Lonchura striata: one gene and its partner. The protein of the gene in region 2 purifies or fractionates together with the protein of the main gene of each other region. This does not show direct contact. Links are inferred from orthologs where the notes say so. Each region holds a gene or a part of one and is shown on either strand. Other genes may lie near its edges.

Region 1 (7,862 bases), on a different chromosome or scaffold from region 2:
TCCCATCACCCTTTGTTCTGAACATGCTCTGTACACTTCCAAGAATTATCTACTTTTTAGGTTTGTCAGACTGTTTTACCTTTTCCCTCCCCCTTTTTTTCTAAGCCCCACTCCCCTCTTTTACTTGAAAGATTTTATTGTGTAAAAAGAAGTTTCACAGGTCAATAAATTTCGAGGGAAATGAGCATTGGTCCAAAAAGGAAAATAATCAAGATTTTAGGGCTTTTATTTTTTTCTTTTGTAATTGTGTAAAAAAATTTTAAAAATTAAAAAGCAGAATTTTAATGTGAAACCTTTTTTTGCTATAATCATTAGTCTTAGAGGCATCGTTAGCGTAGTGTGTGTGCAAGACCATTTCCTGCAGCCTTTCCTCAACAAGTATCTTCTATTTTTATCATGAATTCCCTTTTAATCAAGTGTAGGTTATTTAAAATAAATTCCTACAACTTAACTGAGTGTCGGTGTCTCTGTGTTCTTTCACCTCCAGCCCTGGATGTGAGGCCCCCGTGGTCGCTGGGCTGGTGATGATGGTGGGATGCAGTTCCTGTTCCCAGCCCCAGCAGGAATTCCCTGAAGGATGTGCCCATCCCTGCCTTGCTGTGATTGTGCTGCCCCCTCCGTGGTGCCCACCCTGGCTTTCCACGCAGGCACAGCTCGCAGTTTGCTTTGCCCTGGGGGAAGCCCTGCCCAGGACAGCAGAGAGCAGGAGCAGGGGGATGCAGTGAGCCCAGAGCTGCTCCGCCTGGTTTCTCTGCTGCCTTTTATTCAGCCCCAGCCCTCTGCACAGAGCAGGATGGAGGGAGGGCACCTCCTTCCCCTCCGTGCCTGGGAAGGGCGGGAGGCTGGGCAAGGACTCGGGTGATGAGGCTGATGGATGCATTCTCCCCCCTGGTGCTGGGAGCAGCCCTGGCCTGGTGTCCTTGGGGATTGTGGAGCAGGCAGAGCCCTGGCTCCTCTGCAAGCACCTCCCCGTGATCCCAGAGCTGGGGTGGGCTCCCAGACCCCCGAGGGTGGCTGTGGGGCCAGGCTCTGGGCAGCCAGCCCTGAGCTGCTTCCTGCTGCTCGCTGCGATCCGCAGGCACTTTGTTGTGGCTGCACAAGCTCGGAGTCTGGCAGGAGTTTGCTCTCTGGGGCCTTTCCAAGGTGCAGCGGTGAAAATGCCAGTGGAGAGGGAAAGGGGCTCATTGTGCTCCCAGCCTGCCCGTGGCTGAACAATGCAGCCTGTAAAAATATCATTTCTATTTATACGGCCCTGCTTCCCGCCTGCTGACCTGGCCCAGTTATCCCCTATCTTACAAATTCTAGTATTCTTGAACAGGGAATTGGGGAATGCAGTGGGAAGGGATGTTCTCCCATAGAGGGGGTCCCCCACCCCAGAATTGCTGCTGGCAGATCCACCTGGGCATGGTGGGGTTCTCTGGCCAGGCTGGGAGATCTGTGTCTGATGGCCAAGGCTGGAGCGTGTTGTGCCTCTCGGTCAGCAAGAAGGAGAAGGATGTTGGTGCAAAACCCACCCTTGAAAATTCCCCCTGCTCCCTCCCAGCACTGGGGAGCACAGGCTCTGTCCTGGGCAGGGGGCTGAGGAGGGTTTAATCGGTGGCTTTGCCTGTGGCACAGCATGCTGAGGACCACACACCCCACGGAGAATTCCCAGACCCCACTGACTCACTGTGCAAACGGAGAAATGGCCACAAACCTGCCACATCCTGTCTTGCATCCCTCTGCTGCAGCGCCTGTGCTCGCCTGCCCTAGTGCCACCACCCCCACAACCGGGCCTGTGTTTGGCAGCCAGGGAAACTGAGGCAGCAGTGACATGACCGGGGGAGAGGACACAAATGTAGCTTTGAACTGGATCTTGTGCAGCACAGGGCCTGGTGGCCAAGGGGAGGTGCAAAACCCTGCAGGATGCAGCCCCATCCCCCTTGAAGTCTTAAGGATTCCGGGGTTGAAAATTGAAACCGGGTGAATTCGATATTAAAGAAGTGCGGGGACAGGGAGCGGGAGCTGCAGTGGGTTTCTCGCCGGGTGCCGGCTGTCACCCAGAGGGAATTTGCAGCGCCGGGCAGGGGCTGTGGGGAGGCAGCCTGCGGGCACGGCTGTGCCCGGCTCCCGGAGAGCGAGCCCCCGCAGCCCCGGGCGGCTCTGCCCCGCATCCCGGCACAGCACCAGCCCGGGCAGCTCCGCACCGCCTTCCCCCGGGGCCCTCCGCGCCCTGCTCCCTGCAGCACCACGGCAGCAATTCCCCCGTGGGGATTCTCTCGGCTGGTGTTGTCTTCACCCAGCCCGGGCAGCGCAGAGCAGGCAGGAATGAAGAAATAACCCGGAGAGAGGCATCTCGCCCAGGGTCTGCACCACTTCCTTGAGTATCAGGCACCCACTGGGCAGAGGGATGCTGCGCTGCAGGGACCCCCGCACCTGCCTGTGGGGTGGGCTCGCAGTGCTGTGTCCCTGGATTCTGTTCCCCGGGCTTTGAGCATGCCTGGGGCTGTCCTTAAGCCGGAGGTCACCTGGCATTGGCCTGTTCCCGGTGGGAGGATGCAGCTGCTCCACGAATCCTGCAGGATATGGGGGATGGCATCCCGTGCTCCGGAACTCTGAAGGGGGAGGTGCTGGGGCCACTCCGAGGGGAAAATCCCCCTTTTCCCTGAGGCGTTGGCAAGGGGAGATTGCAAGACCCGCAGGCTTCCACAGCCATATGATGAGCACAGTCCAGAGAATTTCTTCAAAAGCAAAACAGGAATATAATGGAAGTTTTTACTGCCCTGAGGGGTGGGGATGATTGTTCACAGCCTGGCTGGTACAGGAGCTGGGGCCACCAAATGGGGCTGACAGACAGCAGGCACACAAGGGCTATCAAATTTCCTCTGCTGTCAAATTAAACAGAGGAATTCCTTGGCATGCAGCATCTTAGACACAGAGAGCTAATGCAAGGCTAAAAGATGATCAGTCAAACTTAGAAAATAAAAAATATCCACTGCAAACAGCTCATTGTAAACCACATCCTCCACGTGTTGGCCTCAGCCACCCCGAGCTCCGAGCTGAGGACACACCTTGCCAGGTGCTCTCCATCAGCAGGAGCTGGCAGTGTTTGGGAACAAGGGAGTTACCTGTTCTGCTTCTTCGATGGCCACACTCCATTCCCAGGTTTTGCCCTCAAAAACAAGGGTGTGCCCACAATGCTCAGCTATTTTAAGACCACTGGGAGCCGGCTGTTTCCTGCCGGTCCCAAGCGAGGCCATTACACAAGCCAGGAGCCACTTCCCACGGCGGCTCACCCCGGAGAGAATGAGGCCCGGAGTGCTGTGCCAGCACCGAGCCCAGGCTCCAGCAGCTCTGGCTCAGCTCAGCACATCCCCAGCATCCTTACAGTGCTGTCATACACTGCTCACTTCTATCAGGACAGGTTTAGACTCTCACCTTGCCTGTTTGATGCCCAGACGCCAGGTAGGATCCTAAACGACCTTATAGGGCTCCTACTGTGTGTGGATGCATGTGTGCTGGGGAATGTCCCTGTGGAGGCAGGTGGAGCAGTAGGACACAGAGAGCTGCTCACATGTGGAATCCACTCAGGGATGGGCCCCTCACTAAGAAGATGACACCCTCCCAGTCCCAGCTGTGAGCTGGGGGGCTGAGATAAGGGCTGCTGAGCACAGGCTGCCTTGCCATGGGCCTGTGGGCACGTGTGTGTACGTGTGTGTATTCACAGCATCATGAGGTTTGGAAAAAAGAAAAAAAATAATGGGATTGATAAAGTTGGAAAAGTCCTCTAAGATCATCAGGTCCAAGCATTAACCCATATTTATACATTTATACATATAAATGGGAAAGCCTGAGCACCGTGTGCCATGGGATGTCCTAATGTAAAGGAGGGCATGGGGAAGAAGGTCAGAGGCACACAGAAAGGGAAATCACAGGCTTTAACCACATGAATGGAGCAAACTGCACTGAAACGCTTCCCAATTCAACCACTTATCCCCTTGCTAACCCTGCTTTTGTGTGGTCTCTAACCCCTGTTTTTTGTGGGGCCAGAGAACAGCTGGAGAGTGTCCAGTGACCCCCGGCTCCCTACAGGTCCCCCAGGGGTGGGATGCCACAGGCCACCCTGCAAGCCCGGTCCTGTTTTCCATGCCAGCACGGATCCAGCTGGGATCCGTGTGGAGGAAACTCCAGCAAACGCAGACCTGGCTTCATCAAGAAGCCACACCACAGTGCCAGCCATACAGAGGGCTCTGTCCCCCGGAAAAGCCATCGTGGGATGCACTGCTGGAACTCCACACGTGGCATGCCAGGATCCCACACAAACCCTGCTGTGGGTGCCACGGCCCTAAGGTATCCTGTGGGCTGTGTGGCCCACGGGGGACCTGCGGGGTGCAGGGTGGTCCCCTAGGTGTGCCATGGGGTGCACAGTCCCCGATCCCCAGGGGTGCCATGGGGTGCACAGTCCCCGATCCCCAGGGGTGCCATGGGGTGCAGATTCTCCGATCCCCAGACATCTCATGGGCTGCAGAGTCCCCCCGTCCCGCAGGGGAGCCGGTGCCATGGGGTGCAGAGTCCCCCGGTCCCCCATGGTGCGGAGGGTCGCACGGTTCCCAGCGTGCTGGGCGGTCTGTGGCACTCCATCCCGCAGCACGAAGGAGCCGCGCTGTGCGGGGATGCTCCGAGCCCCGCAGCACCGGCTGCGCGCTCCCCGCACGCTGCGCGCCCGCCCTCCGCGCCGGCAGCGCTCCGCCCCTTCCCCTCCCTCCTCCTCCTCCTTCCTCGCTCCTCCTTCTCTCTCTCCTCCTCCTCCTCCTCCTCCGCTCCCTCCCGCGGCGGCGGCGCGGGGCGCGGCGGGGCTCGGGCGCTCCCGCTCCCCTTTGTTCGCCGCGCCGATGGCGGCCGGGCCGGGCGCCGGCCCCGGGGCGCCCAGCGAGGCGGAGGCGGCGCAGCTGTGCCGCAGCTTGGAGATGGGCACCGTCATGACCCTCTTCTACTCCAAAAAGTCGCAGCGACCCGAGCGGAAAACTTTCCAGGTGAAGCTGGAGACGCGGCAGGTCACCTGGAGCCGCGGCTCCGAGAAGGTGGAGGGGGCCGGTGAGTGCGCGGCGGAGCCCGGCGGGAAGGGGCGGCCGAGGGGCTGGAGCCCCGCCGGGAGCCGGGGCTCGGTGGCGAGGAGAGGGGCACGGGAAAAATAAAATAAAATAAAAATAATGAACCTCCAGGCTCTCCGCGCCCGGCATCTCCCCGCGGGCAGCCTGGGGGGCGGAGAGGAGTCCGGGTCCCAGCGTGGGGCCGACCCCGACCGCCCTGTGCGCGGGGGATGCGCGGGGGATGCGCGGGGGATGCGCGGGGGATGCGCGGGCCGGTACCGCCGCTGCCCCCGCCCAGCGCCGCCTCCCAACTTTCCGCATCCCTGTTCGGCACCAAACTTCCCCTGGGATAAACGCGGTGTTTTCCCGGGTGGTGCCTTGGCGAGCAGCACCTAAGGGCGGTAGGGAACCTCAGAAGGAGGCAGGACTAGTGTGAGCCCTTTTGCGGTTGCACCTCGGAGCAACAGATGAGATCGAACGGAAAAGGTTAAACAGTAGGAAAACCAACCCAAAATATTGTGCTGTAGTTCCGTCCTCTTCCCCGTTGCCCTCTGCGCATCAGCCCGAGGGTGCTGGCACAGGGTGTGCTGAGCCCCGGCTTCCTGTGCTGGATGGGGGCGAGGAGGACAGAGGAAAGGATGAAACCTGAGTGTAAAACCAGGTTTCTTATGCAGGGCCGTAAGGTGGGAAGGGGGTGAGATCTGGCATGCTCTGCACTCTTAAACTTGGTGTTGGTTTCCCAGGTTTTCTTAAATTATCCTTCCTGCCCCTGTGTGCACCAGCACGAGGACAGGGGCTCTGCTCTGTGTGGGACGTGAGGAAGAGGGGACGTGCACGAAGGCCAAGTGGTGGGAGAGCTGGTACTGGCTGTGGCACTGGCCTTCCCCATGCTGAGGGATGTGGCAGAGGCCCAGCAAGGCCAGGGAGGGGTTGTCATCTCTCCTGGCAAGTGCTGCTGGTCCAGGATGGAAAGCTGGGATGCTATTAGTACAAGGGGCTTTGATGAGGAAGGGGCATGGAGATGGTGGCCACACCTCTGTAGCAGGTCCACAAAATGCTAATCTGGGGCTTTGGTTTGCCCTGGGACCCTTTGAGTCCTCTACCTTGCGCCCTGTGGGGTCTACAGGCAGATTTGGAGGGAGTCTTTAGCATCATGAGGACGTGCAGCTCCCCCATCTCTTTCCCAGAAGGGCCTGTGGGAGCAGTGAGGCAGTGTGAGAGCAGCATTTCATTGACCCTGGGCTTGAGCTGTTCTCAAACTCAGGCAGAACAAACATTGGTCTTGCTGGGGAGATTCTGGTCTTGGGCAGAGCCCACAGACCACGTGTGCCCATGGGGGACAGAGGTGTCTGCATGGGTGGTTGTTCCTGGGGACAGACCTGGGTGTGTCCCTGTAACCTTTTGGGGAAATCTGGAGAACTTCAGTTTCTGTACCAGAGTTGTGGGCCTGACAATGATAAAGCCACAGCTGCAAGGAATCCTTGTGCTGTGCAGACATCCAAGAGCAGTGAAAGCAAAGAGAGTGTCCCAGGGACCGAGATGACTGTTTCTTTTAATGTCACAAAGAAAAATTCCTTGGGGCCTCTCTACTGTGCCACAGGCAAGGTGTCTGGCTGGTGGTTTTGGTCTCTGGGCTCCCCATGTGTGCCTCCCTGTGCTCGTGGTGATCTCACACTATGTGTGACCCTCCCAAGTGGCCAGGTGGGCCTTGCTGGACACAGAGGACATCAGGCTGAAGAGCTGCTGTATCTTCAGCCTCATCTCTCTGATGCCAGATGCTTTCCCCATGGCATCCTCTCTCACCAGAGCAGCTCACCCTGCCCTCAGTCCCCTCCTCTGGTGTCACCCAGCACCCTGAGCTTGCAGGGCTGAGGAGCAGAGCTTTGCTTTAACACTTCCTGGACAGAACTGTGGGGCTCCAGCTGGAAATACCAACCTGTGTACACAAGTAGTGCCTGGGTTTCTAGGCAGGCAAGGCAAAGCCATGGGATCGATGGCCAGCAGTACCAGGTTCTTGGCCAGCTTCCCTGTTTTTATCTGGATGTGCTTTCTGGGCAGAAAGAGGATGCCTGGGAAATGCTGGGTGTGTGACAGCTCCACTTCAAGGTATTCCCCTCCTGGCTCATCCCCTTGAGGTCAACATTGCCATGGCCATGGTGGGAACCAGAGAACCAGAGGGGGAATAATCTGGAGTTGAGCTCATCGCTTTCAGTGCAGGGTATGGGCAATGACTGATCCAGTTCTCCCCATGAAAAGAAGCCATGCCAGCACAGGGAGCAGTAGACTGGGGCTGGTAGGGACACTGGGTTTTACTTTTTGTGGTGGTTCTGGTTTGGCCTCAGCTTGCACTATGAGGAGAGTAGCCAGCTGTCAGGGGATGAGGTGTTCCTTCCCATGGAACAGCATCTCCTCCAAATGGTGTCTGGGGACTTACAGATCAAAGATTGCTGTGTCCATGGGTCAGCAATGGATGTTCTTGTGGTTTTTGAGCGCTGGAGAACACTAGGGAGTTTTAGACTGCTCTGGATACATGTTAAATGTCTAAGTAGGAATGATTCTGGGGTTTTATCCATTTCAGAACAGGTGAACATCCACGGTATATTGCATATGGAGGTTTTGGGCTTGGGGCATGTCTGTGTGGATGGCCATGTCTTGGAGAGGTCTCCATGGACACCAGCGACAGAGGATCTGTGCTCCTTTCTCTGCTCCTGTGGGCTGTGCAGAAAGGAGATGTGTGTTTCTCCCAGAGAGGGATGGGTGACCTGGCTCCATGGCTGACAGTGTTGGGAAGAG
Region 2 (7,763 bases):
AGAGATAGAGAGCCTTAAGGCACCTGGAAAGTTTGCCGGCAGAGGAGAAGGAGAAGATGCCCAGCATGGGAGATGGAGTCCTGGGCCAAGATTTCAGCCATCCGGGGAGTCTGGGACTTTTAACCCTTTCCTGGGAAATGAAAGCTTTATGAAATATTACTCCTCCTTGATTTGAAAGAGGAGAGAGACAGTCTGGGACCTGAGATGTTACGAAAAAAAGGTTGGGGTGGAGATGATGAAGTGGCTTTTGGCTGGACATTTCTTGTTAGCCATAGACTGAACCAATTTCTCTTCCAAGAGAGACTGCATTTAGGGGGATGCATGGTGAGCCAAGAGACCTGCTTCAGCAACTACCAGCACAAGAATAGAATGAACAGAGAAAAGTTGAGGAGGGTGTGATGATGTCCTCTATCTTCAGGAAGAAGAAGATCTCTGTTTGCACCCTTGGCCCCAGGGGAGGAGGGAAATGGGGGGGACTGTGGTCTGAAAATGAGAAAATGAACTGTTGTTTCTTTTGGTCCTTGGCAAAGCATCCTTAAAGGAGCCCTGTAAGCAGTCTCTGTCCATGCACAGTGGTGAGAGCACTGTGCATGGAAAGGAGAGTGTCACACTGGCAGATTTTCTCTGGGCGGTGCCACGTGTGACATGGAAACACAAGAGGTGGCAACTGTGTTTCCTATGGTACAGGAGAGACTCCTCTCTCCCCTGATGGACTCAGTATAGATTATCTGAATGGTGATGACTTGATTGAGGGTCCAAGTTATGTCTCACTGTGGTTTGTTGGAGTTGGGGTGGGGGAAGGAGGAATGTTTTGGAAGGTTTTAATTCTGGATTTAGTGTGTGTCTTTTATCATAGTTTAATGAAGTTCTTTTTCCTTTGTTTCTAAGTTGGCCATGCTCTGCTCTGTTCCTGATTGCATCTCACAGCACTTATTTGGGAAAGTGTATTTTCGTGGGGACACTGGCATTGTGCCAGCGTCAAGCCATGACAGATCCCAAAAGCCCATCAGTGGACATTGCTGTGCTGAGCGATGCGACAGAACAGAAAGGGAGCTGGCAGCTGGACCTGTGGCTTTGGCTTGGAGACTCCTGAAAGCTGATGTGTCACTGGGACACCCTGTTCCAACCCTTGCCCTGCCCTCCTCCAAGCCCTGGGCAGCTGTGGAAGCTCTCTGTCCCCCCAAAACTGTACCCAGTAACTATGACACAACAGACTTCTTTGTTCATCCAGGTGACGTCCTCCCTTGGGGTCCCACACCTGCAAGGTGACACTCACAGGACAAGTGAGCACAGTTCAGCCAGAGCACAAGCTTGTCTTTCCTTCCGAAACTTACCTGGTGAGCAGCAAAGTTGTCCTCCATTGCCAGACAGGGACATTGGAAGCTCTTGCTTGGGATCAACCTGCTCTGCTCATAGAGCAGCCCTGCAAAAGAAGGGGCACTGAGGAGCTGCCACCCAGCCCCAGCAGCCTGAGCATGGCAGAGCAAGGACCCTCTGCCCTCCTGGGCTCTCTGCCCTGCACCACAGCATTTCTCCCAGTGCCACTTGCAAGGACATGCTGGTGCTCCTGGTGGCTCTCCAATCCTTCTGCTTGCTAAAAGGCACCACAGACCCCAGCCCAGTCACAGGGCAGTGATCTTCATCTCTGCCAGCCTCTACAGACTCCTGGCACTAAATGTCCTCCACTGGGTAAAAGACAAGGAGTGGAAGAAGGTGAGCTGGGATGGCTCTGCTGCTCAGCTGGGGGAGGAGAGCTCAGGGACATAGCCCAGAGCAGAGACACTGCATGGCAGCGGCTCACCTCCTTCTCCAGGGATTAGATGCTCAGCAGTTAGGTCACTTGGGCTCCCTTTGTCCTGTGCACTGGGAAGGGGCAGGGAGACAGCTCAATAAGTCCCCAGCTGCCTATCCTCTCTTTTTAGCTGTGCTCAACACCACCCCCAAACATAGGGTCACCTCTGCCCAGTGGGGAGCTGTGTTCCGCTCTCAGGCTGCTCCTGAGGCATTTCCCAGCTTACCCCTGTTATGTTCCCACCTACAGCTTCTTCAGTGCCCAGGAGCTGCAGAAAGAGAGGTGAACCAGTGCCAGGCCCTGCTGCTCCCCCATCCCAAGGGCAGATGTGCCTGCACAGCCCTGCCCCATGGGAAAGGACACAGGGGCAGGACAAAGGCCCATGCTAGGGGTGGGACAGAGGTGCTGCCCAAGCCATGGCTCCCTCTGAGCTGCCAGAACAGCAGATTTTACCCTTCCTGGCTGGGGACTAAAAGGGGACCAGGGGATGTAGGACATGGAAATGTCCCCATCAGCTCCCTGCCAGGGAAGGCAGAGATCAATCCCAGAGTGATGTGTGCATGGTTGGGAACCTCTCCTGCCCTATCATGGGGTATAGCAACACAACCAACCCAGGAGTGGCACTGCAGGAGCTGTGGGCCAGATGAGGATGATGGAGGTCTCATCCTCATCACTGCCTTCTTCCTGTTCCTCTCTTCCTCTTCTTTCTCTGCCACTGCCTCCTTCCTGCTGCTCAGGACCCACAGCTGGCCCAGGGCCAAGCAGAGCTGTGGGTGCAGGGAGGTGCTGGGCTGCAGAGAGGAGAGGCAAGCAGTGAGGCCTCCCTGGTGGCCACCTGCAGCTGGGCACAGCCATGGTGCCAGTGTTGGGACGGTCACTGGTACATCCAGCACTAAGGTGCTGGGACTTGTGACAGGGCATCTGTGCTCTGTCCCAGAGCCAGGGATGGCACCCTACTGGTGGCTCATTAAAAGTGAAAAGTAAGGGATTAGGCTTCACATGTTGCGCAAGTTGATTTAGTGGACTCTGAAATAAGAAGAGCTGGGGTAAAGCAAGGATCTGTCCAAAGCATTTGCAGCCAGAGAAATGCCAGCCTCTCAGATGGGCTTTGAATCAGCTCACCTCTATGACGCTAAACACAGCACAGAGGTGGCTTTTTTTGTATTAACTCTATTATTTAACTAATCCTTCAGCAATTGCCCTGAAGTTCCTTCCTCAACGCTTCTGTGAAGAAATGATCATGGTTCCCTTTTCTAGCATTGCGCCTGCAATTACACTCTGTGGCATTACAATTACGGAGGCATTACACTGTGGTTCTGCTCCACAATATCTGTATATTAACATTAATTTGATATAAGCACAAGAATAACTGCACGACAGAATAATTGCACTCTAATGATTATATAGTTAAAGTACCTGGATTATAAAAATATACATGCATTAAGTATCAAACTAAAGAGATAATAATAAGTCATTAATTCATATAGGCAACTTCCAGAAATATGAATGAGTTATGATTAGCTATCCTAAGGCACAGCACTAATGTAATTACAGTAATTAAATTGTATTTATGAAGGGTGAAAAAAGGGGAAATTGTTGCATGGACCTTTCTTAAGGCTGTTGTTTTCATGCAGAAATTGAAGAATTTTGATCCATTTTTTAGAATGACTTATACTCTAAGATTTCTCCCCCCCCCCCACTACTTGCTTCTAATTTTTTTCCCCCTTTCTCTACAGGGGAAAGACATGCAGGGTTCTTTTATGGATGTTAGCCTTTAAGGAGGTACGGAAGGAAGCCAGGAAGGAAAGGAAGGGAAGAAAGGAAAGGAAGAGAGGAAAAGGAAGGATGGGGAAGGAGCACAGAGGGAAGGAAAAGGAAAAGAAATTAAGAGGAAAAAAATGAAGGGAAGAAAAGGAAAGCAAGGAAGAAAAGCGGACAGGTATGTCCATCATTGCCTGCCCAGAGAGAAGAGGCGGGGAACGGGACCCCAGAGCCCCCCGCCACACGGGGGTGGCAGCCGGGCTCGGCGCCCGGTGCCCGCCCCCAGCCCCTCCGGGCCGTGCTGTTGCCAGGTGCCCCGCTGCGGGCAGCAATTGGCCGCTGCCCGCCCCCGTTCCCGGGGCGCGTCCGTGCCCGGCCCGTCCCGGGGGACGCACACCCGGCCCGCTCCCCGCGCCCGCCGGGCCATTTCCCTCAATGAACGCCCCGCCCGCCCCGCCCCCGTACATTTGCATAATGAGGGCTACCGGGGACGCCATTGGCTGCCGGGGGGCGCGCTCGGGCGTGACGTCAGCGCTCGCAGGGTAATGCCTGCGTTGTGGCGGGTAGTTGGAGCCGGCAAAGCCCGCGCAGCGGCGGCCCCGGGCGGAGCGGCCGGCGGCGGCCCCGAGCTCCCTCCGCAGAGCGCCGCGCCGGCACCGCGCTCCCCGGCGCCGCTCCGCGGGCGCGGGACGGAGCGCTGCCGGCCCCCCGCGGGTCATGGCTGGGGACAGGCTGTCCGCCCGCCTCCTGGCCGCCGCCTGCCTCGCCTTGAGCTTGGCCCCGGGGGCGGCGGCGGGACCGCGGGACACCCCCGGCCTCTCGCGGCTGCAGAGGAGGAGCCTGGCGATGGACTTCGTCGTGCCCTCGCTGTTTCGCACCTACGTGCGGGAGCTGGTGCTGGGGCCGCCGGGGCGCGCCGCGGCGCGGTGCCGCCTGCGCTTGGACTGCGCGCCCCTGCTCCGCGCCGCCCGCGGGGCGCTGCCGCGGGCCGAGCCGCCCGCCGTCCCCGCCGGGCCCTCCGCGGCCGGGCGGCGGCTGCGGCGCGCCAAGCAGCTGGTGCTGGAGCTGGGCGAGGGCACCGTGCGGGACGGCTGCGCCGGCGAGCCGGGCCCCGGCGGGGCGCACCTGGAGTTCAACCTCACCGAGCTCTTCGCCTGGTGGCTCCGCGCCGGCGACGGGCGGCTGCGGGTGCGGCTGATGCCCGAGCGCCGCGGCGCCCTCCCGGGCAGCGAGCGAGGGCTGTCGGCGGCCATCCGCGCCGCCCGCCCCCGCCTCCTCTTCTACGTCTCCGCGGCAGGTGAGCCGTGCGTTGCATGCCGCGCACCGCGCCGGGCAGCGCCCCGCGCCCGCTCCCGCAGCCCCGCCGTGCCCCGCGCTGCCGTGCGCCCTCCCCGCCCGGACACGCGTCCAGCGCCCCGCACCGTCCCGGTCACTGCCGGCCCCGGCGATGCGGGAAGCGCAGCTCCCCCGAGCACTCGCGCCTTCCCCTCACGGCTTGTCCCTAAGGGCTGCGCTTTACCCGTGCGAAATGTATCGAAGCGCTTTGGTGGGGCCAGGAGGACTATTTTGAAGGTGACGAGGGATTTTTGCGAAACGCCAAGAGTTTCTATGTGCTAGAAAGCCACGAGCAAGTCCTAGAAGGTTAAAGTGTCATTAGTCGAAGGACAAGAAGATCAGGTTCTTTGAAACTTAAAAAATATCATCCTAAAAAGGGATGTTTCCTCAAAGTGCTGCGAGTGTTTTCAAGGTTATGTGACAGCAGACCAGGGAACAGCACAAACATCTCTAAAGTTGGGTCTGGCTCCTGATTTTGTACATTAATGCTACTATCTCTATTACTAGATATTGATATTACTATTATTCCTGATCTTTAAACATAAAATATAGGGGCTGATTGACATTTTAAAACCCCAAAGGATCCTTAGTGAATTGCATTCTGTCAGCTACAGTACAAGAAGTTGTACATCTGAGAAGGCTCGTGCAGCACTGGTATTTGTGCGAAGAGAGAACCCAGCTCAGAATTTTGGTTCTGGTGGGCGGTGATTGGCAGTCACGGTTTGGGGCAGCTCCTTTATCTCAAATCAGGACTCTGTTGTGGGCTAGTGATCAAGAGAAATTTCCATTCTGTGTGTGCTTTGTATCTTTAACAGAAGCTGTGATTCAGCCTTTCCTACTAGAAGAATATAATACCTAGAGGACTGCAGGTCCAAATAATTTGTCACAGTGAGTTAAGTCAGGTACTTTTTATGAAGCTTTGTAGAAGTCAATGATGTGTCCCTGAGTAGGCACCTACTTAATGGACCACAGAATACACTTCAGTAAGTTCACAAGAGGAGGGAGAAGTCACTGCTGGGCTTTGAATATAAAGTTGGAGCAACTGATTTTGGATGCTCATCTGAAAAGATGGGATAGCCATCTGAAGAGCTACAAATGGAACTCATCTCCTTGCTTGCTGCCTGAAAGGAAAACCAAAGCTGACTGTCAGGATAGGCTGTAAGTCCTGCAGCTGTGGCTAAAGTGAGGTACCCAGGTTTAGCTCTTCCTGTGCTGGATCTGGCAGGGATAACACAGAGGTGCTGTCCACCACAAGGTGGCTAGGCGAGGCCAACACCCCCCACCTTCTAGCAGGTCTTGCCTTGCTACATTGCCGTAAATAAAGAATAATTAAAAATTAAAGACGCCAAACCCTACTGTCTCCTTTTCTTTCTATTTGGAGGATTTGTTGTGATTAGCACTTGTTTTGATTTACAGATCTCCTTGGGCAGTGAAGCCTTAGTTTTGAATGCCATTTTTAATCAGGTACTTACAGCAGTGATGGAGCTTGAGGACATGCATTTGTCTTAGAGGATGAAGGTGTGTTTTTAACCTGAGGGAAGGGCATACATAAGAACTAACAGGTTCTCTGATGTGAATACAAAGCTATTAAAACTCACACGCTTTATTTTGTCTGTTGTCTTACTGTTGAGGAGAAATTCATGTTTTTCCAGATCAGTAGGAAGCTATGCCCCTGGAAAATCATGTTGGAGAGAAAGCTCTGCTGTTCTTACTGCAACACACTCATGCAAAGTCAGTCACAGAGGAGGTAGGAAAAGGAGGAGCAGAGGGAAGGAATATAGACCTCCTTTACCCATATTGAAGTGGTAACCTCCTTGCAGCTGTTCACAATCTCCTGTAAAAATCCTGATCTCTTTCCGAATTGCACCTCTGCTTTTTCAGCAGTGACTCTTTAGCATAGTTACACTGTGGCTTTGCCTTGCTTTTGTAACATGGGTTTGTTTAACAACATTAGGAAATCCATTCCCTGCTTTGCTAAGGTGCTGTCTATGTGAAAACCATGTGTCACTGCCAGCCTTAAATTTGTGCTGTGTAGCCCTGCCGACAGCAGGATGTGCTGATACAGTGATAACAGCACGAACAGCATCCACCAGCCTGTGAGATTCCAGCAGTTATTGACACCATTGCAGCTAATGTGCACGGGGCTTAACTAAAGCCCTTCCTAAGGCAACTGAGCCTTTCCTTCATTGCTTAAGCTAATTGGAAATGGATTTCAAACAACACAATCCTCCCATCAACAATGGAAAGCTGCTTCACTTATGTTGGCATACTGGGCTTTTGTTTTTCTTTTTGTCTGCTGGAGATGTCCAGGGTTGCAGTATTTCCCAGAAAAATGTATAATTACCTTGCTAAATTATTTTCATCACATTATCCTCCATGTGAATGGAGAATGAATTATATTTTAGGGTGAGGAAAAATGGCAAGGGGATGAAGTCCCACTGACCTTAGAGGTGATAACAGAGTCCTGTAAATAATGCTTTATTCTCTTTAACTAACACTTTCATTTGCTGGCTCAAAAATAAATTTAACTGAAGTGAATCCTTTCCTTTTTTAACAGCATGCTTGTACAAAGCATAAAGCACTTTGTCTCAGTCTGTTACTGAGCAATTAGTAAAGGATGTACTTATGGGCAGCTGTTGTTCTGCAGACAAGCCATAAAGTTGAATTTCTACAGGGCTTTTCTGCAAATATTCTTGATGCCAGATTTCTCTCACACTCTTCCTTGTGGGAACAGAGCATCCTGCAAGAAGCTTCCATTTAGAGAAACTGCATGGAAGTTTCATTCAGTTGGAATAGGATCAAACCTCAGCCCATCTACCATTTCTGCGTCAGCTTGGCCTTTTCAAATTGGGTACAAGAAAGTTTTCCTCTCTTG

The links. Proteins that work in one complex are often made in the same cells at the same time.
Region 1: the proteins of ALK (region 2) and PLCG1 purify together in Homo sapiens (affinity purification with western blotting; 3 studies listed by BioGRID, with this or other methods). This does not show direct contact. The link is inferred for Lonchura striata from reciprocal best matches to the Homo sapiens genes ALK and PLCG1.

What each region holds. Positions count from the first base shown.
Region 1 is NC_134619.1:9,747,219-9,755,080, reverse strand, and holds the start of PLCG1 (1-phosphatidylinositol 4,5-bisphosphate phosphodiesterase gamma-1), read left to right. Parts: upstream 1-4,836; 5' UTR 4,837-4,871; coding exon 4,872-5,073; intron 5,074-7,862. UniProt on the Homo sapiens protein: Mediates the production of the second messenger molecules diacylglycerol (DAG) and inositol 1,4,5-trisphosphate (IP3). Plays an important role in the regulation of intracellular signaling cascades.
Region 2 is NC_134605.1:19,515,893-19,523,655, forward strand, and holds the start of ALK (ALK tyrosine kinase receptor), read left to right. Parts: upstream 1-4,740; 5' UTR 4,741-4,750; coding exon 4,751-4,850; intron 4,851-7,763. UniProt on the Homo sapiens protein: Neuronal receptor tyrosine kinase that is essentially and transiently expressed in specific regions of the central and peripheral nervous systems and plays an important role in the genesis and differentiation of the nervous system.